3 linked regions of the Pelodiscus sinensis genome follow. The protein of the gene in region 3 binds, or shares a complex with, the protein of the main gene of each other region. Links are inferred from orthologs where the notes say so. Each region holds a gene or a part of one and is shown on either strand. Other genes may lie near its edges.

What was found. Proteins that work in one complex are often made in the same cells at the same time.
Region 1: RBL2 (region 3) and E2F4 share a complex: the UniProt entries of both Homo sapiens proteins name them as parts of the DREAM complex. The link is inferred for Pelodiscus sinensis from reciprocal best matches to the Homo sapiens genes RBL2 and E2F4.
Region 2: RBL2 (region 3) and MYBL1 share a complex: the UniProt entries of both Homo sapiens proteins name them as parts of the DREAM complex. The link is inferred for Pelodiscus sinensis from reciprocal best matches to the Homo sapiens genes RBL2 and MYBL1.

Annotation. Positions count from the first base shown.
Region 1 is NC_134722.1:47,082,412-47,090,506, reverse strand, and holds the start of E2F4 (transcription factor E2F4), read right to left. Parts: upstream 3,018-8,095; 5' UTR 2,963-3,017; coding exon 2,837-2,962; intron 1-2,836. UniProt on the Homo sapiens protein: Transcription activator that binds DNA cooperatively with DP proteins through the E2 recognition site, 5'-TTTC[CG]CGC-3' found in the promoter region of a number of genes whose products are involved in cell cycle regulation or in DNA replication.
Region 2 is NC_134712.1:58,191,969-58,199,842, forward strand, and holds the start of MYBL1 (myb-related protein A), read left to right. Parts: upstream 1-4,857; 5' UTR 4,858-5,266; coding exon 5,267-5,286; intron 5,287-7,874. UniProt on the Homo sapiens protein: Transcription factor that specifically recognizes the sequence 5'-YAAC[GT]G-3'.
Region 3 is NC_134722.1:33,781,739-33,789,141, forward strand, and holds the start of RBL2 (retinoblastoma-like protein 2), read left to right. Parts: upstream 1-4,242; 5' UTR 4,243-4,408; coding exon 4,409-4,594; intron 4,595-7,403. UniProt on the Homo sapiens protein: Key regulator of entry into cell division. Directly involved in heterochromatin formation by maintaining overall chromatin structure and, in particular, that of constitutive heterochromatin by stabilizing histone methylation.

The DNA.
Region 1 (8,095 bases), about 13 Mb from region 3:
GCTACAGCCGGCCTCCCGCGGGCACCACATTTTCCCCGTCGGGGGTCAGAGCCCCATACTTCCGACAGCACCTCCTCTGTGCCCCTGCTTCTCAAGCTGCAGAGAGGACCCTGCTCCCCAGGACTTCAAAACTACCACTGATCTTCCCCACAATCCAACTTCTCATTGCACTAAAACCCCTGCTGTCCCAGAGCCAGCCCGGCCACCTCCCCAGCTCCTCTGGAGCCCGCCAGGACTGCGCCTCTCTGGGACAATGCCCCGGGAGGGTCCTCCGTATTTCAGCCCCTAGCTCCATTCTCTTTTGGAGCAGATTAGGAAGGCTGTGGTGAGGCAGCTCTTATGCTACCCAAAGTCCTCAGCTTTCCTCGGCTGACTTGGCTCTAGGGGAAGGGGCAGGGAACCTTTTTGGGTTGGGGGCCACTGACCCACAGACAAATCAGTCGGGGACCACACACAAAAAACCCTCATTGATGTGATGCCCGACGGAAGCAGAAAGATGCTTCCTACATTTCCCTTGCACACCAGAGCCTGGGGGCCCAGCCGTGATTTTCTGTGCTCCAGCCGTGTGGTGAGACAGCGGGGGGCTGGAGCACCAGTGCGGGTCCCCAATGCAAGCGGGGGGCCCTGAGCCTTAGGGGCTGGATCCAGGCAAGCTGCGGGCTGCATTCAGCCCCCAGGCCTGAGGTTCCCACAAGAAGTTTCCAGGGGTGGATCTGTTCTTTGGTTGGCAGGAACAGCCGTACCTTAACACTCAGCGCGCCCCTGGGTGCCTGCCAAGGGAAGTTACTCCAGTTCCCATCCCAAGTAACCCTAAGTGTGAATTCCATGGGCGCTGGGTCAGTGTGAATGCATCGTATGTCTGTACTGATATGCCCAGCGCCACACTGCACTGGATACTGCAAAAGACACAAGCCTGGTCACTTTCCTACACAGCTGTGCTCCACAAGCCACTGCTCTGTTTCAATGATGCTGACAAACACGAGTCCCAACTGCCCGCCGCTTTTGGAGCAAACGCCCACCGCTTTTCTGTCCCAGCCTGAACCTCTTAGTCACCTCCTGCACATGCCCGAAGCCAGAAAGAGCAGCAGTGGGAACACAGACAGCTGAGGCGACACACACATGGGTATCACTCCATGGAGGCATGCTGCACTGCTGGAAGACAAGAGCTAGGTTTCGGCTTTGGACATGGCAGGGAGATACCGTGAGAAAAGATCTCCAATGGCCAGGGACAAGGATAAGTGCCTATGCCAATTCGCCACTAGGGATGTGAATCGGTAGCTGGTTGCCCAGTAAGCAGGTACCAGTTAACTGACACCTGGGAGCTGCCCCCTGCATTTAACCAGTTAACCAATTAAATAGGACTGGACATCCCTAACCCAGGGGGTTGGGTCTTCACCTGGCATCCTAACCACCATGCTACAGACTAGGTGGAAGTGCCTCTCGCAGAGCTCAGAGCCCATTCCTGTTCTGAAAAATCTTCCCGGCAAAAGTTTCCTCAAAGCTGACTGGCTCTGTGAAAAGTTTCGGTTTTGCCAAATCAGCATTCTCCCCGCTCCCCCCCCCAAAAAAGCCCCACACCAAGCCACTTTAGAGCCACAAACTGCTGACCCGCTTGAGAAGAGTCCTGCTGCCTCCTAGCCATGCCTGGATGCACAAGTGCTTCCTTGAGCCTCCCGTTTTCAGTCCTCCAGCCCTGGGTTCCCATGCGGATCCGAGCCTGATGCCTCAGGCAGCAACTGCAGCACTGCGGATCCAAGGGAGATTCCTCCACACACATGGCATGATAAGCAGCGGCTCCCAGGGCAGAGGCTGCTCGGGAGGCCGGGAAAGCAGGATGCAGCCAAGCACCAGGGAAGGGCATTGAACAAGGTCCGAGATACCACAAATACACCCGAGATCAATGTTGCACTCCCACTTACCCCCGTCCTACCCATATCACAGCCTTACCTGTGGCCTCCTAACCCCCTCCAATCTGCCCCTCGCAGCCCCCGCCACCCACCTGCTTCTCCCTCCGCAAGCTTCAGTGTATTCAAAGAAACCTTTTTCGTATTGAATCTCCCAAATTGTCGAGTCTGACAAGGCTGCTCATCAGGGTGCAATGAGCCACACGTTAGTGATCTCGGAGGTGCTGGGGTGAGACAGCTTTGGGGACAGTCTATGCAGTGCGCTTTTGTGATGCATAAACATGCAGGTTGCCACGTGTGTGGGCAAACGCGTATTCACCTGGGGCACAGACCAGATGCAAGCTCCAGATTTGCAGAGCTTCAGCCAGAAACGATCTGATTTGCTCTCCTCCCCTAGCAGCCAGGTCTCCCCCACCTCCAGACTGGAGGAGGCAGAACCCTAAAGATCATTTGGAAACTTCAGCTAGTGGAGAACCGCACCCCCACTTGCTTAGCAGTGATTTCCCTGAGCTCCGCAGACTGTGCTGGCTTCCTGCTCGGCCCCCTGCAACACACGGTGCTGACAGTGACCTACGCATCCCTTTCAAGCTGGTGTCCTGCTTAATGCAGGGCTGCCACTTGCGAAGAGCGACTGCGCTGGGGTGGATCCAGGCTACGATCTCCCGGTGACGGGGCTGTGGACTCTGGATTGTTTCCCTGCAGCGGGGCGCGGAGCAGACGCGCAGGCCCTCGGGGGGCGCGGGACCAGGGTCTGGCTCTGTTCCGGGGTGGCGACGACTCCCCTCAGCGTGTCACCGCCCCCCGGGACAGGGACCCCCCCACTTACAGCCCCCCCCCGACAGGCTCCACCCGGCCCCAGGCCCTGCACAAAGCGGGCGCCAGAGGGGGGAGGCCCCGTACGCCCCCCCCGGAGAGACCCCCCCGGGCCGCACCAGCTTGAGGTCCAGGACCCCGTCCTTGGCCTCCTGCAGCAGCGACACGAACTTGGTGGTGAGCAGCCCCAGGCTCTTCTCGTGCCGGCTCGGGGCCCCCGGGGGCTGCGGCCCGGACTCCGCCATCTGCCTCCCCGCGCGCCGCTTCCGCTTCCGCCGCCGCCCGCGGGGCAGGCCGGGAAGCCGCGCCGGAAGCCAGGGGGCGGGGCCGCTGCCGCCCGCGCGGGGAGTCACGTGGCGCCGGGGGGCGGGGCCGAGGCGGGGCCCCGCCTCGCGCCCGGCCACTAGCTGGGGGGTGTGTGTGTGTGTGTGTGTGTGTGTGTGACGAGTGCTGCGCGCCGGTTGCCAACTTCCCGGACCGCACGGAGCGGACCCCACTCGCGGCAGCGCCGCCCCGGCCGGGAAGTTGGCACCTGCGCCCCGTGGCCCCCCGGCCCGTAGCCCCCACGGCGCCTGGGGACCCTGCCCCTCGGGGGCTCCGGCCACGGTGGCGCGGCAGGGGGGGCTCGGCGATCCGGAGTGCGGGGGGGCTCGGGGTGCGGGGGGGGGCTCGGCGAGCCGGGGTGCGGGGGGGCTCGGGGTGCGGGGGGGGGCTCGGCGAGCCGGGGTGCGGGGGGGCTCGGGGTGCGGGGGGGGGCTCGGCGAGCCGGAGTGGGGGGGGGCTCGGGGTGCGGGGCTCGGCGAGCCGGAGTGGGGGGGGGCTCGGCGAGCCGGGGTGCGGGGGGGCTCGGGGTGCGGGGGTGCGGGGGGGGGGCTCGGCGAGCCGGGGTGCGGGGGGGCTCGGGGTGCGGGGGGGGGCTCGGCGAGCCGGGGTGTTTGTTTATTCACAGCCAGGTTTGCTTCTACTGATGGTGCACATTCACATGTGCCTTGGTGCATGTAGAAAAAAATATTCTGCACATAGATGGAAAAGATTAGAGGGAACATTGCTTCTCAGACGAATTCCAGACCAGTTCCCCCAGAATTACCTGTAAGACCTTCTTAAAGGGCTTTCCTAAAACCAATCTCCGTAATTTAACTGACCCAAACATTAAAAAACAACAAATAGTCTAGCAGCACCTTAAAGACTAATAAAACATGTAGCTGGTACAACCCACTTCCTCAGATGAGTGGAGAGAATTCAGATTTGGTCTCATGTTCACTCCTGGTCCGGGAGCAGATCTGGCCCCGGGCCCCAGCATTGGAAATACAAGCTGAACTCCAGGGCGTGGTTCACTCTGATAAAAGCTTCCTTTAGGAAGCAAACGCCTTCACTGCTTTCTGGCTAGCTCCACTCTTAGTTTTCACTTTTTTTCCTCCCCGGGGCAAGTCTGGCGTGTCCACACGAAAAACACTGGTTCCTTTTATGTCAACCCGCTTGGATGAGTCTGGGCCCAGGGAGGTTAGCTGATTGATTCCCTTTGACCACAATTCTTGAAGAACACGAAACTTAAAAATACAGAACCTCCCAAATTAAGTTTTCATTCACAAACTAGGAATCATTTCCCCTTTCATGCATAATATTTTAAGTGTTGCACTCACATAAATACAAAGCCTCAGACAGGTCGCCGTGGTAGTCTGTAGTTTCAAAAACAACTACAAGACCGGTGGCACCTTACAGACGATGATATGTGTGGGCATAAGCTTTCATGGGTAAAAACCACTTTGTTCGATGCATGGAGTCCATGTCCTTTTAGAACCTCAGGGATCAACTTCTCAGCCCAATGCTTTCAAGTAGGAATAAGAGATCCTCCGGAAAAGGGCTTTATTCCGGAGGATCGTGCCAGTCTAGACGCTTTTTTCCAGCTTTTCCCCAAGCCGGAAAAAAGCGGCGGACATGTTTATTTAAATCCCGCGGGGGATATTTAAATCCCCCGCGGATTTCCCTATTCTGACTTACCTGCTTTGCATCACTTTTCCGGAATTTGGGGCCAGTGTAGACGTAGCCAAAGTGTTTTTGTCTCCACTTCTGGAAACTCTGGAAGAATTCCACCATGATTTCAACAGCTTCCACCCCACCATCAACTGCAGCCTGGACCAGTCTACACAAGAGAGCCACTTCCTGGGCAGCACGGTGTAAATAAGTGATGATCACATAAACACCTCCCTATACCAGAAACCTACTGATCGCTATACCTACCTTCATGCCTCCAGCTTCCATCCCGGACACACCACACGATCCATTGTCTACAGCCAAGCATTAAGTTACAACCGCATCTGCTCCAACCCCTCATACAGAGACCAACACCTACAAGATCTTCACCGAGCATTCTTGAAACTACGATATCCAAGTGAGGAAACAGACTAAAAGAGCCAGACATGTACCCAGAAGCCTCCTACTACAAGACAAGCCCAAGAAAGAAACCAAGAGAACACCACTGGCCATCACCTACAGACTTCAGCTAAAACCTCTCCAACGCATCATCAGTGATCGACAACCCATCCAGGACAATGATCGCCCACTTTCACAGGCCTTGGGAGGCAGGCCAGTCCTCGCCCACAGACAACCCGCCAACCTGAAGCAAATTCTCACCAGCAACTATACACTGCACCACAGTAACTCTAACTCAGGAACCAATCCCTGCAACAAACCTCAGTGCCAACTTTACCCTCATATCTACACCAGCGACACCATCACAGGACCTAACCAGATCAGACACACCATCACTGGTTCATTCACCTGCACAGCTACCAATGTAATATACGCCATCGTGTGCCAGCAATGCCCCTCTGCCATATACATTGGCCAAACTGGACAGTCCCTACATAAAAGAATAAATGGACACAAATCTGATATTAGGAATGGCAGTATACAAAAACCTGTAGGAGAACACTTCAATCTCCCTGGACACACAGTAGCAGAACTAAAGGTAGCCATCCTGCAGCAAAAAACTTCAAGACCAGACTTCAGAGAGAAACTGCTGAGCTACATAGTTCATCTGCAAATTTGACACCATTAGTTTAGGATTAAACAAAGACTGTGAATGGCTGGCCAACTACAAAAGCAGTTTCTCCTCTCTTGGTGTTCATACCTCCACATCAGCTGCTAGAAGAGGGAGTCATAGTGGAGAGCAGCCAAAGCAAAAGAGCTCCCAAGGTGATGCTGTGGCCGAAAGGACTAATTCGATTCTTGGCTTTCATATTACATAGGACATACGCACACAGACCACAGCTGGAATATGGTGTCCAGTTCTGGTACCCATGTTTCTAGAGCCTGACAAATTTGTGGATACCCACTTTATATCCGCGGGTGACCGCATCCACAGCTGCGGATACCCACAGCTCATTTTTGTGGATACAGATACAAATCGGCTGCGTCTAGATTGGCATGTTTTTCCGGAAATGCTTTTAACAGAAAAGTTTTCCGTTAAAAGCATTTTCGGAAAAGAGCGTCTAGATTGGCATGGACACTTTTCCGCAAAAGCACTTTTTGTAGAAAAGCATCGGTGCCAATCTAGATGCGCTTTTCCGCAAAAAAGCCCCGATCACCATTTTCTCAATTAGGGCTTTTTTGCAGAAAACAAATCTGAGCTGTCTACACTGGCCCTTTTGTGCAAAAGGGACTTTTGCCTGAACGGGAGCAGAATAGTATTTCCGAAAGAAGCACTGATTTCAGACAGTAGGAAGTCAGTGCTTTTGCGGAAATTCAAGCGGCCACTGTAGACAGCTGGCAAGTTTTTCCGGAAAAGCGGCTGATTTTCCAAAAAAACTGGCCAGTCTAGACACAGCCATTTTGTATCTGCGCAGGGCTCTGCATATTTGAAGAAGGGTTCAGGAAAAGCTGCAAGAATATTAGGTACCGGAGAGGAGGCTTATAGCGAGAGGCTTATGACACTCAGTCTATTTATCTTGTCAAAACAAAGATGAGGCACTGATGAGATCATGGTCTGTCACCACTTACACAGGGAGATCTCTGAGGACGGGCTCATTAATCTTCCTATGTATTTTAGAAACTTGCATCTGTCTGTGAGTCCATTTGTTCAAGAATCCTCCTAACGGGTACAAGCTGGCATAACGCTGACACGGGAATTGAGCCTAGGACCTCTGGAGCTTAGTGCACGAGTCTCTACCACACAAGCTAAAAGCCAGCTGGCTCTCAGGTAATGCTGTAGAGCAGCCTCATTAGTCTCTCTTGACTTGGTCCCAGTGCCATAAGTGGGATAGTGCACCGCACCCAGCAGGTGTGAGGGTTACACGAGGATCACCTGATTTGGTAGGCAGCTTCCTCTTTACCATCACTCAAAGCGAGGTCGGGTTGGGTTGTGCCAGGACAATGGGATGTTCCTGGAATGGGACTGTTTCATAGCAAATGGAAAGGGAGGGGTTATGCTCACACATGGCAGCAAGTGCCCCTATCAGCGGTCCCTGATCAGCAGTACGGACCCTGCTACCCTGGCCCAGGAGAAGCCAGCCTGTCTTGGACCCGGGTAAGTCTTCTAGATAAAGACACAATGAAATCCAGTAGCTGGAAGTGGAGCTAGACAAATTCATCCTGGGCCCATGACACACAACAGTGAGGGGCAGTAATAAGTAAAAGTACCTGCCAAGGCACATGGTGCATTCTCCATCACTGAAAACATTTCCATCAGAACTCATTGTCTTCCTGGGACAGCCACAAATTCTTGGGCTTAACACGGGAATTACAAGTTACTTTTTTTTGGCCTTGTGTGAAGCAGGCAGGACATGAAAAGTGTCCCCTCCCTCTCTCCCCCGGTGGGCCTATCTGCTCCTGAAATCTACAAAGCTAGGAGCTACGCCCAGGCTTATATTTTGTAAATGTATATTGCACGTCAAGGCCCGGCTGAGATGTTTCTGCACAGTTGGGCAATTATCTTAGCAGGCGCTCTTCGGTCCGGAGGAACGCTGGATGTGTTGGAGGGATGCTGTGGTTTCAGCGGGGTCACTCAAAATCCGATGTCTGCAATAGAAAGGTGTACGTCCGATATTTCGGCTTGGAACTGTGCCTTTCTTCTTTCCGTTTCTGGGATTGCTTCGTGTGGTACTAACCTTCGATTCTCATCCTTACTTCGGCGTAAATCTCCAGAATTGCCTTAAACGCAGGACTCAGCTAGCAGGGGGGACAGGAAAGGGTTAAATGACTTCAGCGGGGATTTCCCTACACCCCCCCCATGGGGGTGTATACCCCCCCTGAATTTCCCCAACAACCCCCCCCCCAAGTTTTGTGAACTATGGTGCCATACAGCCCACCTTCACCCTCACGGTCTCACCCTTCATCGAACCTGACACCCCCCCTTGTAAATTCAAACACCCCCCCCCAAT
Region 2 (7,874 bases), on a different chromosome or scaffold from region 3:
AGGACAGGTTTTGTTTTGGGATGTATTCCTGAGGGTTGAATATGAAGCTGCCCTTCACTTCCCTACCCTCCCACGTTGTAGAGCCCCTCAGAGAGGATGCTATGGAACTCAGTGAGGAGGGAATGTGGTTTAACAAGGGCTGGAGGGGTGCCCATGCATGCAGCTGTCCTGGAAAGTTGCCATGTGGTTCATCACATCTGTCATGGTCTTCAAGACTCTGTCCTAGTTTTTCACTTCTAGCTCCCTGTATGCTCTCCTGTCACCCTTCTCCGCTTTCATCTCCAGCAGCAGCATATTCCTCCACTCAATTAAGTGCTCCCTGTCCACATTGGCAGATTACATTTCCTCCTTGAACATGTCATTCCTAGTCTATTTTTTCCTGCACATTTTTGCCAGCCAGCTAGCTGGTGGAGTCAGGGGAGTGTGTAGCATGCTTACTGCTGTTTCCACTGTAACAAAAAGTGAAGGGCTGGGTGTAGGGTGTCCAGCCAAGGGGGAAGGTGCAAGAGCAGAGGGTGTCTGGCCAAAAGGGGAGGATGCAGGAGTGGGCTGGGGATGTGACATCTTGGTGGAGGTGTGTGAGAGGGGGTGGGAGTGCAGGGTCTGGCCATGAGGGAAAAGCGGAGGCACTTACTTGCTTTCATGTCCCATGTCTGTCCCAGGCACAGTGTCTCAGGCATGGCCTTTCGCTGCTCCCACTGGCTGGATTCCGGACAATGGGAGTAGTGGGGAAAGCATCAAGGCAGCGTGTCTGTGAATTGCTGTTCTCAGGTGGGGGAGGGGGAACAGCAGCACACAGAGCTGCTTCTGGCACCGCTTCTTCCCTGTGAGGTGGACCCTTCCTTCTGAGTGGTTTGGGGCTTTCTTCCTCCCTCTCTGGCAGGAAGCCAGCGCGGGCTCCCTGCTGTGGGGAAAGAGAGGGAGGGAGGAAGGAGGGGCTGAGCTTGAGATGCAGATCACCTGCAAGGTGGCCACGGACCACTAGTGGTCAGTGGGCCACAGTTAGAACCACGGTTCTACAGGATAAAGTGTTTAGAGACATCATCATCTAAAATATTTGTAAAATCCTTATCTATGTGATAGAAGTGAATCTGTTTATTAAGTGAAACAATCTTTAGAATTTGATCCTTTATATACTTTCTACTACAGTAGAACCTCATAGTTATGAACACCAGAGTTACAAACTGACCAGCCAACACACACCTAATTTAGAACTGGAAGTAAACAATCAGGCAGCAGCATGGACAAAAAATAAACAAAGCAAATATAGTACACTAAACCACTCTGGTCATCTGAAGAAGTGGGCTGAGCTCACGAAAACTCATGATACCATCTACATGTTTTGTTAGTCTATAAAGTGCTAAAAAAACCTATTTGTTGTTTTTTAAGTTTATCCTGTACAGACTAACTTGGCTACCTCTCTGAAGCTTTTAAATATTTCAGAGTTACTAACACCTCACAAATGGAGATTGTTCGTAACTCTGAGATTTTACTGTACTTTCACTTTTCTCAGTGTAGACAATAATGATAAATTAGGGTGTGTCTAGACTACAGAGTTTTGTCGACAAAAGTGGACTTTTGTCGACAAAACTATACCTGCGTCTACACTACTGCTGAGTTCTGTCGACATAACGTCGACAGAACTCAGCAGTTTTGTCGACACTGGTAAACCTCATTTTATGAGGCATAACACCTTCTGTCGACAGAGTTCTGTTGACAGAAGGTGTTATTGCATGTAGGGTTGTGTCTAGACTACAGGGTTTTGTCGACAAAGCAGCTTGCTTTGTCGACAGAACTGAATGTGTCTAGACGCTCTTTGTCGACAGAAGTTTTGTCCACAGATACTGTCGACAAAACTTCTGTCGACAAAACCCTGTAGTCTAGACATACCCTCTGGTTTGTTTTTAATGTCTAGTCATTTCCTCTTCAGGTTTTTATAGACTACTAGCTTTTTACCCGGCATTGTTCAGGTACTTCAGGGCAGGGTGCTGGAGGTGTGTGGGTGGTGTAGGAGTCAGGACTGGGGGTGAGGAGTGGCTCAGGGCAGGGAATGGGGAGTGCAGGAGTCAGGACAAGGGATTGGGAGGTGTGTGTGTGGGGGGGGGAGAGGTTCAGGGCAAGGAGCGATGGGGTCAGGACAGAAAAGTGGCAGATACAGGAGTCAAGGCAGGGGTTTTAGGAGGTATTGGGGGCGCAGGGCATGGTGTGGGGATGTAGGAGTCAGGGCAGGGGATTGGAAGGTATGGGGGTTGAAAGCTGAGGGTGGAGGGTGCAGGAGTCAGGGCAGGGAGTGGGTGACTCAGGGTAGTGGATACCGGCAGTCAGTGGCTGCTCCCTGGGGCTGGTCTGGAGTGGCAAAGACCATGCTGGCACTGGCCTGTAGTGGTGAGAGTTGCACTGGCTGGCTGATGGCTGCTCCCTGGGGCCAGCCCAAGGCTGCTGTGCTGCTCTGCTGGCATCTGCTCCCCAGGACTGGGGCACTTTTTGCTCCCTGTGGTCATTGTGACGTATAACTGACCCTGTTATCAGAGCCCTCTCTTTCCATTTGATGAGAAACAATCGGATTCCAGGCACTTCCCATTATTCCTAGCATAACCAAACACTGACCTTTCTTTAAATTAGAATAAGAGAAGGTTGCATATCAAATTTGGTAGTCCTAGCTTTTACCGTTCAGGAGGAGTTCTTGAACAAACATGAATGCATGGACAGGCACTCCCACACAAGCTCTCTTAAATATATAGTAGATTTTGCTTAGGTTGTAAGGGGGGAGGAAATGTGGTAGAAAAGTTGCTTATTTTTAGACTAGGTTGAACACCTATTATTGGTGTTTGATTTGAATAAAAGGCAAAAGATAATATCAGTTTGACTTTCATAATTAACCTCCCTTCCCCAAAACAAAAAACCTTATAATTGAGGAAGCTTATCTTCCTCTTTTCCTTACTCCTAATCATTTTTCTGGGGAGTAAGGGAGAAAGTTATTCCTTAGGCTTGTCTATACTCACTGTGCTGCAATTGCATCTGTGCTGCTGTAGTGGTTAGTGAAGCTATCTACACTGATAACAGAGCATTGCCCCTTGTTGTAGGTACTCTAATTCCCAAAGAGCCATGTTAATGGGAGAAGCCCTCCCATAAACTATTTTTGCCTATAGCAGGGGCCAAGTTAGTACTAATGTGTCACTCATCTAGGTGGGCATAGTTATACCAATATACATTTGTGATGTAGACCAAGTCTCAGATTATACATCATATCAGACTGTATTGTAATGTTAGGCAAATACTAAGGGGCAGTGCCCCCTGCTTGCTATGCTTGCCAACTCCCCTCTCTGAGGGTTGGCAGCTCTAGCTTTCCCCCACCCCTGGCTGCCATGGGGCTGGGCCAGGCCTAAGCTGCACCTAGCCTGGCTTTCTCCCTTCGGCCACAGGGAACCCGGATCAGGCTGAGGCTGCAACTGGTCTGAGTCTCTTCCTCTGGCTGTCGGGGGGCTGGGCTGAGGCTGGCCCAGTTCTCTCACTCCAGCCGCCCGAGGGTTAGGCCGGGCCAAGGCTGGCCTGGCTCTCTCTCTCTGGCTGCCACTGGCAGTGGTTGGCGTGGCTTTCTCCCTCCAGTTGCTGAGGGACTGGGCTAGGTTGAGGCCATAGCTGGCTAACTGGCATCCTCCCGTGAGGGGAGAGGGCATGTGGCTCCCAGTCCCATCCCACCAGGGGGGAAAGATACACAGGTGGCAGCTCTGGGTCTCCACGGTGACAGGGGAAGTCCACGTGGCTCTGGCCCCCTCCTGCTACAAGGGGGAAGGCTGCTTCGCTTTCCCCCCACGAGGGGGGAAGGCTGTGTGGCTCTGGCTCCAGTCCCCTGTGTGAGGGGGAAAGGCCACATGTGCCCAGGGCTCTTCCCCCTGGCCACAGAACACTAGGGAGATAAAGGGAAAGAGGAAGGAAAGGGCTGCAGGATGCAGAGTGACATGATGACATGACTCTGTCATCCCTCAGGAAAATCTTTTTTATAGAGAGATACATGGGAGGAAGGCAAATACTTGTTTTTATAGAAATTTTTTTTTTTTAAGTCTGCCTAGGACTGTATTGCATTAATAGTGAACATTTGGCCTCTCCAAAGCTCCATTTCTCTCTCCATTTGTTTTGGTACAAAAGCTGCTCTCACTATATTTTTTGCTATTCCATACTGACAGCTCTTTAATTACAAATTAAGTCAAAGTACATTGGATGAGTCATGAAAAGGAGACTATGTAGAAAGGAAACAAGAACATCCAGGAAGTCCCTTCGATAGCTCAGCTGGTAGAGCGGAGGACTGTAGAGGAGCTGCGGGAATCCTTAGGTCGCTGGTTCGATTCCGGCTCGAAGGAGACATGATTTTGTAATTATACTCTATGCCGAATGTGAGAAATCTCTGTATCGGTAACATTTGCACTAGGCGAGATGTGTTTCCCTCCCCCTGCAGACTGTGGGCTGTTCGCCTGCATTTTGTCCTTAGTCAGTAATAGGTGAGTCCGGATTCCAAGTGATCTGCTCACTCAGGACGCCTCGCACAGGCACATTGAAGGGGGAGAATAAGGCCTTGGGCTGGGAAGCAAGAGCGGCAGCAGCACGTAGCAGAGCCCGTGGGGCTTCTTACAAGCTGCCACTGTTGAACACCGTCAGGCTTGGCGGGAAGAAAAACTCGCTCTCCCAGGATGCAGCGCGCTATGTCCTGCCCCCTTCATCCCTACTGCTCCGGGTCCGCCCCCGTCTGGCTCTATGCCCCGCCCCCTTCATCCCTACTGGTCGCACCCTTTCTCCCTCTGGCGCGGTGCCCCGCCTCGATCGCGTGCGGCTGCCTCAGCCAATGGGGTTGCAGTCCGCGTGCGCAGATTCAAACGGTGGCTCTGGAAGGAGGCTGGGCGCGAGATTCGGCGGCACGGACAAAACCTGTGACGGCAGCGCAGCGGCAGAGGAGGCCGGGCCAACGGGGGACGCAGCTGGGAACAGGGGCCTCGGAACTGGGCAAGAAGCGTCCGCAGCCCCCGATCCTGTCTCCGCAGCCGGGCCGGGCCATGATCTGTGTGCGGGGCGCCGGGCCAGGCCGGGGCTAAGTGAGGTGGACGCGCTGGAGTGTCCGGGAGCGGTAGAGGCAGCCGCCCCCTTTTCTGCTGTGTGACGGGGCGGGCCCCACGGCCGCCACAGACTCCCCGGGGCAGTGTGAGGAGCCCGGGCAGGGAGCCGCGCAGCGCCGTCCCCAGTCCGTCTCCGCCTCCTTCTATGCTGCGCCTCGAGGATGGCGAAGAGACCGCGCAGGTGAGTAACGCCCCCGGCCGGCCGGCCCGCCTGTCCTGGCTCGGGTATCTCCGCGCCTTCGTCCCGGATCCCTGCTCCGATCGCAGCGCTGTTCCCTTCGCCTGCAGGGTCTCTGTCCCCTTTCCCTCTTTGGGACCCTCCCCCGGCTTCGCTCTCAGCTGTGCTACACCCCCACATCCCGCTTCGTCTTTCTCTCCACGCCAGAGGCTCAGGCTCTCCTCCTGTCCGGCCGCCCTTCCTCGTGCTCCACTGTCATTGTCCAGTCCCTCCCCAACGCTGCATGCCCAGAGCTAGATCCCGGCCCCATCATCCCCCCTAAGTCCTGTCACCCACCTGTCGCAACACCGGTGTTCCCCGACTTCTCCATCTTCCCTGTGTGTTGCATCTCACCGGAGTTGCTGCACCCATGTCTTTTCCATGTCGCTCCGTACTACAGACATAAGAGTAACCTCGTCTTCTCTTTCCCCTGGGCTACTAGTTTCTTCCTACACAGTAGTTCTTGCCAGTTTTCCCTTTCTTCTAACTTTCTGGTCCTTTACCTCTCTGACCAACCACGTGGTTTTAATACTTTGACTTCACTAATTCTTATTTTTTTAAAGACTGTGTTTTTAGTCCTGGTACATCCATTGATGGGGGGGGGGGGGGGAAGGTATATGTGATTCTTTCCTGTAGCTGGGAAATCTGTGAGTGAAAGTGCTTATTCAGCTGCAAACATTGAGCTGTTGCAGATTTATCTTCTATTTTGCAGGAGCTTGTGTGTCTCATTTATACTAAAAATCTGGATTTTTAGGAAACTACACTTAGTAATTTAGTTACTACTGTCTTCTGTCTTTCTAGTTGTGGATTTTTGTAGAAAGGGGTTTATGAGATTGATAAAGGAAGAGCAGGGTAAATGGTCAATATTAGTTATGAAAGCTATTAGGTTTTGACCATCTCTATTATTTGGAGACTGCTGTGTATGCATATTGTTCATGGGAGTGAAGAAATTGTAGTTTTGTGGTTGGTACATCAGAATTTCTTCTGTATTTTTCTTCCAGAGGAGATCAGGTTTATTACAAATATACTATAAATTCATAGTTCTTGTGGGAAAACCACAGGAAGGAAAGTAATATGTTTTCCTTGTAATTGTTCAGTTGTTTCAAGGGGAACAAGAAAATCTCATTTGGAGAACTGGGTTTTGCCCAAGAAAGCTCACAATTATATATGTATGTAAATAGGGATGTGAATGACTAGTCTATTATCCGATAAGCAAAAGCTTATTGGATAGTTGATACACTAGTCCAGTGTTTCTCAACTAGAGGTATGAGTACCCTTAGGGGTACTTGAGACAAGTTTGGGGAGTATGTCAACACAACTGAAATTTGGAGAAAACTGAATTTTTGTTTTAAGTTTTACAGCACTTTATTATTTTTGTGCTTTTTACAGCCAAAAATTTCATCGCCTGCCCGGCTACAACTAAGCTGTTTAAACAAATGTGTCGCAATGGGGAAAAAAATGTGTAAGTCTGAAAACTATAGGTATTGGGGATACTTATAATTATTTTTTTTAAAGATACTTAAAAAAAAAAAAAAGGTTGAGAAACACTGGACTAGTTGACTGGTCACTTCCCCTCCCTTGCTGCCTCTCAGAAAGAGGCAGTGTGGGGGAGGAGTACTTCGAAGTGGCAGTGCCGTTAAAACGCCGCATGCTGCTGGGGAGTCCCCTGCTGGCCCGGCTGCATACAGTGTTTCAAGGTAGCAGCACTGCATGGAGCCTGGGGTCTGCCGCTTTGAAATACCATGTACAGCTTGAGTTCCCACCTGGTCCTGCTCTGCATACAGCGTTTAAGAGCAGCAGTGCTGCATGGACCCTGGGGACAGCTGGACACTCTGAGTCCCCAGCTGACCCCGGCCTCCATGTGATGCTGCCACTTTGAAATGCTGCAGGTGGCCTGAGGCCAGCAGGGGACTGCTTTAGTCCCCTGTGCTCCTTGCAGCTCTTTCGCCTTTGAAGTGTAGCCCTGGGCCAATTAATCTAAATTTAACATTTCTAGTGTGTAACAAAAGTTAACAAATATGTGTGTGTATAATGTGTGTGTGTGTGTGTGTGTATTTATTTTATTTATGTATTGTATATGTTTGTTAGGCCTGTGGCACCTTAGTGACTACTCGTTGTTTGGAAACTAGAGAGGATCAGCTACCTTAATGTAGGTAACATGAGACATTCCAGCTACATATTGCACCCAGAATGCCATCTGGAGCATCTCTCTTTAACCAATACAAGTTGGTCCATTAAAAGTTATGACCTCATATTACCTTGTCTTTCTGGAGTCAGGAGCTAAGGAAGACTTACTAGTCTTTCTGGAAGTGCCAATATTGCTGTCAATGAATATTGAGCTGTGAAGAATTCACATTTCTTGCTAGATTATTAAAATAGGTGTGCATAGACGATGAGCTCATTTGGTACATTCTGGTTACAGCAGAACAAAAAGAAAGTGTTGGTATATACAGGCAGTCCCTGGGTTACGTACAAGATAGGGACTATAGGTTTGTTCTTAAGTTGAATTTGTATGTAAGTAGGAACTGGCTCCAGATTCAGCTGCTGTCACT
Region 3 (7,403 bases):
TAACTGGCACCGCTCACTAGGTAAGGCAAGGGCAAGTCTCCTGGACCTAAGAAAAACAGGCCCAGAACATTGATGCCAGTGGCCTCTCCCTGGTTTGTTCAGCAGACAACTCAGGCCTCTTCGGAGCATGGGTCCCCTTCTCGCTCCCTGGCCCGATCTCAAATGGTATGCCTACACTTATGTCGACACCCAAAAGTCATCAAAACAAAAATCACCAGAGGGTGTTCACACTTGCTCCCTTGGTCAACAGATCATGTCCACTTTGGGGACACCATCATCACCTATGTAGTGGGAAGGCAGAGCTGATCTGTGAACATCTTGGGTTTCCCTCTGAGTTCTCCCACAGCCTCAGCTGCTGGGAGCAGCATGATGAGTAGCTTTGTGAGCCCTCCATGCTGAGAAATGTCAAAGCAGAACAGCGTCTATACCCTTGCCCTCACACCAGCAGGCTGCCTGCTACTGTGTTCCCAATGCAGGACAAAACAACATTCCAATGATTTGTTCTTTGTTCCCCAAACAGAGCAGCTTACTCAGCTGTCAGATATCTCTCAGCTTTGAAAGGGGATAAGCAGCGGTACCTGTGGAGGCACCAGTAAATATAGCAGCGGTACCCCGCCAGGGGCTTATCCTGGTGAACCACTGTTGTCTTATTGCCTACCCTGGACTAACCTAACCTGGATCAAGATATGACTAATAAGTACCCTGTATCCTTTAAGAAATACTACTTAGTCTCCAAGGTAGATGGCAACTTAGTAGCCATTACTTCAAAAATCTGCCCCTATATTTATTCTCTCCCTACCCAAATGACCAGAGTGGATTCAGTCATCTGCCAGTGTAAAGGTTTTGAGATCATTGCCTTGGTGCTCAAGATTGCCAGCCATTTGGTTTATATAGTAAGGTTGCTGCAGTGTCAACTAGATCACTCACCTGGCAGTAGGTAACATAAAATTGGGTCACAAGGCAGCATGACAGTAACATGTATGAAGGATTTTTGTTCTGCCTTACTACTTTGCCACACAAATCAAGCTTGTGCACAAGGAGAATACGAAGGGTGCAACCCCCCCCCCCCCAGCCACCACCACCACCACCATGGTTCCCCAAGTAAACATGCTCCAGTTAACTGGGGAAAGGCAGGAGAGGTGCCCTGTCCCAGCCTCCCTCCCACATCCTCTAGTCGGCCAGGGGAAGGCTGAGGCTGATTTCCAGCTTACTTGGGAGACCAGGGTGGGGGAGATGCGGTCACATCTTTGCAGTCTAAATTTATGAAAAAGCACACCCACCCAGAAATTCCTGCATATGGGCCTGCAAATTCTGATAGAATTGTCTGTAAAATTATGGGCGCACTGCTTGGTCTACAGTAATGGACATACTTGATTTTGGTTTTAGAATGCCACTTTGTCAGGAACAATTCACTTTGAGACTACTGCATTCAAAGAAGTTCAGCTGTTTCAGGAAGTGAACAATGTGATGTATGTAAAAACCCATATGTTGTCTCCCAAAGTTCCCTGCAACCCTGGTCGTCTTGTAAGAAATATCATGTTTCTCTTTCTCAGAGCACTTTCCAGGGTGAAAAGTCTAGTATTATGTGGACTGCTATAGCATCTGGGAGCTGTAAACATGGACCAGAACTCCATTGGCATAATTAGTGTCTACATTAGGGGTTACACCAGTTCAGTAGTATTGGTGACTGAAAATTTTGTGTAGACAAGGCCTGAGATGGCTCTGAGCAGTGAGTTAGAGGGATACAATGAGTTAATGTTTAAGTTGTGTATTGATCTTATTTTGCACAACTGAGCTTTGTGCATATTAGCAGATTAACTTTTAAGGGAGACTTTTCAGTGGAAATTATCACTATTTTAAATCAATTAATATATTTATCACCAAACATTGTGATAAAAATATTTCATAATTGTTTTTTATTGAGCAGAAATCTATAAAACAATTGCCCTGGCACAAAGCTAGCTATGAAGACTGTGCCATGTTTAAAATAATAATTTTATCTGTTTTAAGTGATTTTATCTTTCTAATTCAGGAGGTTGTATTTATTATTTTTGTAAATAGTTACAGGGTAATTTCCAGTGGGTCCTTCTTAGTCCTCCTGAACATTTAGGCCATAACCGTGCAAAGAATGAGTGTACTTCACTTTCTGCATTGTATGAGTAATCCCAATCACTACAGGTTCACAGACCCTGATCTTCAACTTGTGTAAACTGCTACAGCTCAACTGAAATCCACTGAATGATTGCAATTAACACCAGCTGAGGATCTGCAGGATCAGGACCGTAAATTGAAAAGGTTTGGACAATTTTGAGCGGTTATAGCAGAAAAGTGTTTAAAACAAAAACTCAAATCAACTTGTTCGAATATGAGGAGACCAAACAGACACAGTTAAAATTTTTTACAACAAAGGCTTAAAATGTTGGCTTCACTTTCCCTGATTTTCAGTCTTAAATTGTATTGATACATAAGTTTGAAAGGATTGTTTAATTTCCCCCATCTATTCTTGGTGAAAAGAGCTACAGTAATGGATTTACTTTGTGGCCACTTCCTTTCATTCTGACACATTAGGTTTTATGCCTACAATGTATCTCCTATTAGGGCTGCTCTCCACTTTTCATTACAGCAGGAACAGCTGTGAGCCTGCTGCTAACTCCGCTGGCCCCACAGAGCTATCAAGCTGTTACAAATCTGCAGGCGAAAACAGACTAGGAATGGCTTGTTCAAGGAACAAGTGCAGTCCGCCAAATTGAAGAGGGAGTGCTTAAGCAAAAGGAGGAATACGCTGCTGAAGGAGATGTACATGGAACATGAGGACAGGAGAACATGCAGGTAACTGGAAGTGAGGAACCAGGATCATCTTGATGTGTGTGGTGGTTGTGATGGACCCCATGGCAGCTTTCCAGAATGCCTACATGAACAGGCACCCTCTCCAGCCCTTGCAGAACAACATTCCCTCCTCAGAGATTTTCATAGCTTCCTCTCCTATGGCCCTAGAACAGAGTGTGGGAGTCACTCACACTCGACCCTGAGGGATATGTCTTGAAACAAAAGGCTGTCCTTGCAATTGTGATCATACACATTCAGAAGCGGTCCGAAGCTCACTGTGGCAGCTGGTGCCCTAGGCGGAAGGTGCGATCGGCACCTGTGCCTGCATGGCTGTCAATGGCTGTGATGTAATCATGACATCATCAGGCGCCTGGACCCATGGTGCCCTAGGCAATTGCCTAGGTCCATGGGTTGCCCCTGTACGCATTCACATCCTTCAGTTCCTGCTCTGGCCTTCTTTTCTGTCCCTGCTATGTTCCCTAAATAAAAAGGCATTAATTTCTTAATGGGTAGTCTGCTTATGGCTTGTGTTGGAAAGAGGAGAGGGAGTATTACAGGCAGACACACTAATGGCAGGGACACCTTTCATAAAACTGTCGAAGTCTGATGTGCACTTCTCCTCACTGTGCTCTCATTGCTCGGGTTAGATGCTGAGTATTGCCCTTTCCCCTTCCCCGACAGATCACATCTCCCCTTACATTCACAAATACCGTGGAGCCCAGCGTTGGCTACCACCACAATGGGAATGTTTCATTTGTTGCCTTCTAACCTAGGCAGTAGACTGGAACCTTCCAGGGGCATTGGCTCCTGTGCCCTACACAAAGCTGGGGGGTTGTGTGTAATCATGAGGGGTAACCAATGAGCAGCAGCGGTGCAAGTAACATTTCCTCCAGGTCCTGTCCCATCGCTTCTTCACCGGTGCGGAGAGCCACTGAATCGGAATGTAACTCTGCATGTGCGGAAACCAAGTGGGGCGGCTGCACCCCTGCCTGCACGCGGCTGCACCCCGGCCAGACAAGCTGGCTGGGAACTGCCGCTGCCCCGGCCTAGCTCTGTGACGTGTCACGGTGCAGAATCGCAGCCCCCCCCGGACCGAATGCGAAAGGCAGCGCGGCCGCCACGTGGCCATTGTTTCACGCGCCTCCCCGCAGCGCTATTTCAGGGCGGGGCTCCATGCTGGGACCAGGCAGCGAGGAGCTGCGGAACCAGCCTGCCGCCTAGAGGCGGCCGGCCTCCTTCACAGCGCTGCGCGCGCCGCTACCACCTGGCCTACGCGTCAGGCCCCGGCGAGCCAGAGCCACCGCAATGCCTCCTGGGGGTGGTAGTTTTTGCTGGCTAACTGTGGGCCGGGGCGGCGGGCACGTCTTGCCGCGATAGGTCGCTGAGACGCCGTCGCCGGCGGCTGCGTAGAGCGAAGCGTTCTGCGCCTGCCGGAAAAGCGCCCGCTGATTGGCGGCGGCTCCTTGGGGGACCAATGGCAGTCCAGGGTTGGGGCGGAACTCGGTCCCGGGGTGGTTGGTCTGGGGCGGCGCAGGCGCAGTGCGCGGCAGGCTGGCGTTGCCCTCTAGCGACGGGGTAGGGGATGCCGGGCGAAGAGGACGAGGAGGCCGAAGCGGGGGTCGGGGGCGCCGCCTCCTCCCCCCCGGCGGAGGAGTGGGGCGTCCGGCAGCGTTACGAGGATCTCTGCAACAGCCTCAACATGGACGAGCGCGCCCGGGCCGAGGCCTGGCTCAGCTACCAGAGCATGAGGCGCAACTACACCCTGGAGGTGAGGGGCGGCCACGGTGACGGGCGGGGCGGCCGAGGGGGAGGGGCGGACGCCAAGCCCTAGTTGCGAGGGGGGGGGACTCGCCTCCTTTGTGGTTGCCGCCGGGACCCGCCTCCCAGCGGGGGGAAAGGCTCCGTAGCCCTGTGCCGGGGTCCTGCGGCTCTGCCCCGGGTGATCATGATGGGAACGGGGATCAGCTCCAGGAGGGAGCAGAGTGAGTCTGCAACAGGAAAAACGTAAACAACAGCGAGCAGTCCGGTAGCACTTGGAAGACTAAGGAAAGGTGCCGCTGGTATTCTGAGCGTTCCTGGTCCCAGCCCACTTCAGGTGACTGGAGAGTTGGAAGTCCAGCTCCAAGACTAAATAAGGGATGGAGGGAGGGATCCCCCAGTGGCTGTTTTGTTTCAGACCAATTCCACAAGCCTAATGCACAGAGACGGATTGGAGCTTAACTTCGAAAGTATCTTTCGAAAAAGCCTCTTTCAAAAGAGGCTTGCAGTCTAGACGTAGCCTAAGATGCTACTACAGGCAGTCCCCGAGTTACGCGGATCCGACTTATGTCGGATCCGCAGTTACGAACGGGGTTTGCTCCCCGTCTCCCTGGTCTGCTGGTGTCCAGCAGACCAGGGAGACGCGGAGGACCCAGGCAGCTTCTCGGTCCGCCGCCCGCGTTTCCCTGGTCTTCTGTGGGGGGAGGGAGGGGCGCAGCTAGTACGCCCCCCCCCCCCCCAGCAGACCCGGCTTTTCTCCGGACGCCTGTGGTAGAGCAGCTGGGGCGCTGCCGGTTGGTCCCGCAGCACCACTCTGGGCGCTACTGGACCAACCCGGCAGCACCCCAGCTGCTCTGCCCCAGGCGGTCCCCAAGTCAGCCGCTGCTGAAACTGACCAGCGCTGACTACAGGAAGCCCGAGGCAGAGTTGCTCTGCCCCGGGCTTCCTGGAATCAGCCTCTGATCAGTTTCAGCAGCAGCTGACTTGGGGATGCCTGGGGTTCTTAAGTTGAATCTGTAAGTAGGAACTGGCGTCCAGATTCAGCCTGTTGAGACTGATCAAAGGCTGATTCCAGGAAGCCCGGGGCAGAGCAACTCTGCCTCGGGCTTCCTGTAGTCAGCCGCTGGTCAGTTTCAGCAGTGGCTGAATCTGGATGCCAGTTCCGACTTACATACAGATTCAATTTAAGAACAAACCTACAGTCCCTATCTTGTTCGTAACCCGGGGACTGCCTGTATACTGTTTGTTGTTTTTTAAGTTTTTCCTATTACAGACTTAACCTTCAGAGGGATAGCTGACTATCTGCTCGCTGTCTTTTTTTCTTCCTCCCCTTCAACTTTTTTTCCTTCTCCTTCCTTCCCTTATTTATTCTTGGACCTGGACTTCCAGCACTCTGGTCATCTGAAGAAGTGGGTTGTGTCCATGAAAGCTCATAATACCATCTACATGCTTTGTTAGTCTACTAGTAGCACTTTAAAGACTATTTGTTGGTTTTTAATAATGGTGATGTTAGTGGTTGCACCATAAAGGGAAGGGGGGGGGCGTGTGGAGTCTCTCCCCTTACGATGTGTGAACTCAAGGACCTAGCCTTTTCCTAATGAAGGCAAAATCACCCTGTTAGTCTCATTTAGCATGGACGCTCTAATTGATAGCTTCAGGGGGTAGCTGAGTTAGTCTGTACTCAACCGTGGTCACCAACTGGTCAATCGATTGCGAGGGCTTGACCAGTCGATCGTGAGGTGTTCGGGCCACCCTCCTCCCCCAAGAAGCCCCACTACCTACCTCCAGCAAAAATGGAGGTAGTGCCTGCTTTCTGTGGGGTGGACAGAAGTCCTGCAGCTGTGGGGGCTTCCCTCCTCTTCAGGAAGGGGAGTTGGCCCCGGAGAAGGCACGAGCGGGGATTTCTCTCCTCTGCAGGAGGAGGGTCCTGGGAAGAGGCTGGTGCCAGGGACTCCCTGCCCCCACTTGCACCCTGTCCCGTGCTGCAGAACCCTGTCCCCTCTCTCCTGTTCCCCACTGGCACCTTGCCTCCACCCTGGCACGCTGTCCCCCTGCTCCCACTGGTACCCTGTGCCCTGCTGCAGAACCCTGCCCCCACCCCAGCAACCACTAGTACCCTTCCCCAGTACCATGTCCCCTGCTCTCACCAGCACAGTTGGGGCCACATTAGTGAGGCTTCGGGGGTTTTTGGCAGGAGGTGTGGTGTGGTGTGTGGGTGTGGTTTTTTTTCATCTCGTGTGGCCCCAACTAACTTTTCTGTGGGTCAGTGACCCCCGACGCAAAACAGGTTCCCTGCCCTTCTCATAAATAAAGACAATGCAGAAACTTTTTGTGTTTGACGTAGTATTTTTTTAAAAAATTAAGCCTGGCCAACAAACCCCCAGTTGGGACCAAGCCCCCATCTGGCTGCAGCATTATAACACTCCTGCACCCCCCCCCCAGGCCCTAGTTCTGAGCCTATCATACACTGAAACCCCCTGCCCTGAACCTCTCACATACCCCAACCCGAATTCCTGCACCCTCACAGCCACAAGCCTGTGGCTTGCTTAGTACCACAACCCTCCATCTGACCCCAACACTCCCCAGCCTGAAGCCTCCTCCCCAAACCAGCATCCCCTTCTCCACCTCCTCCTGCATCCAAATTTCCTCCCAGAGCTTGCACCTTTCACCCCTTCCCACACCCAAATCCCTCATTCCCACCCCAAAGCCCACACATCCTGTCTCAACTCGGTGAGGGTACGGCTAGACTGCACGAGTTTTTCCAGGATTCCAGAGATCCTGGAAAAACTTTTCCGCATCCAGGGATCATAGAATCATAG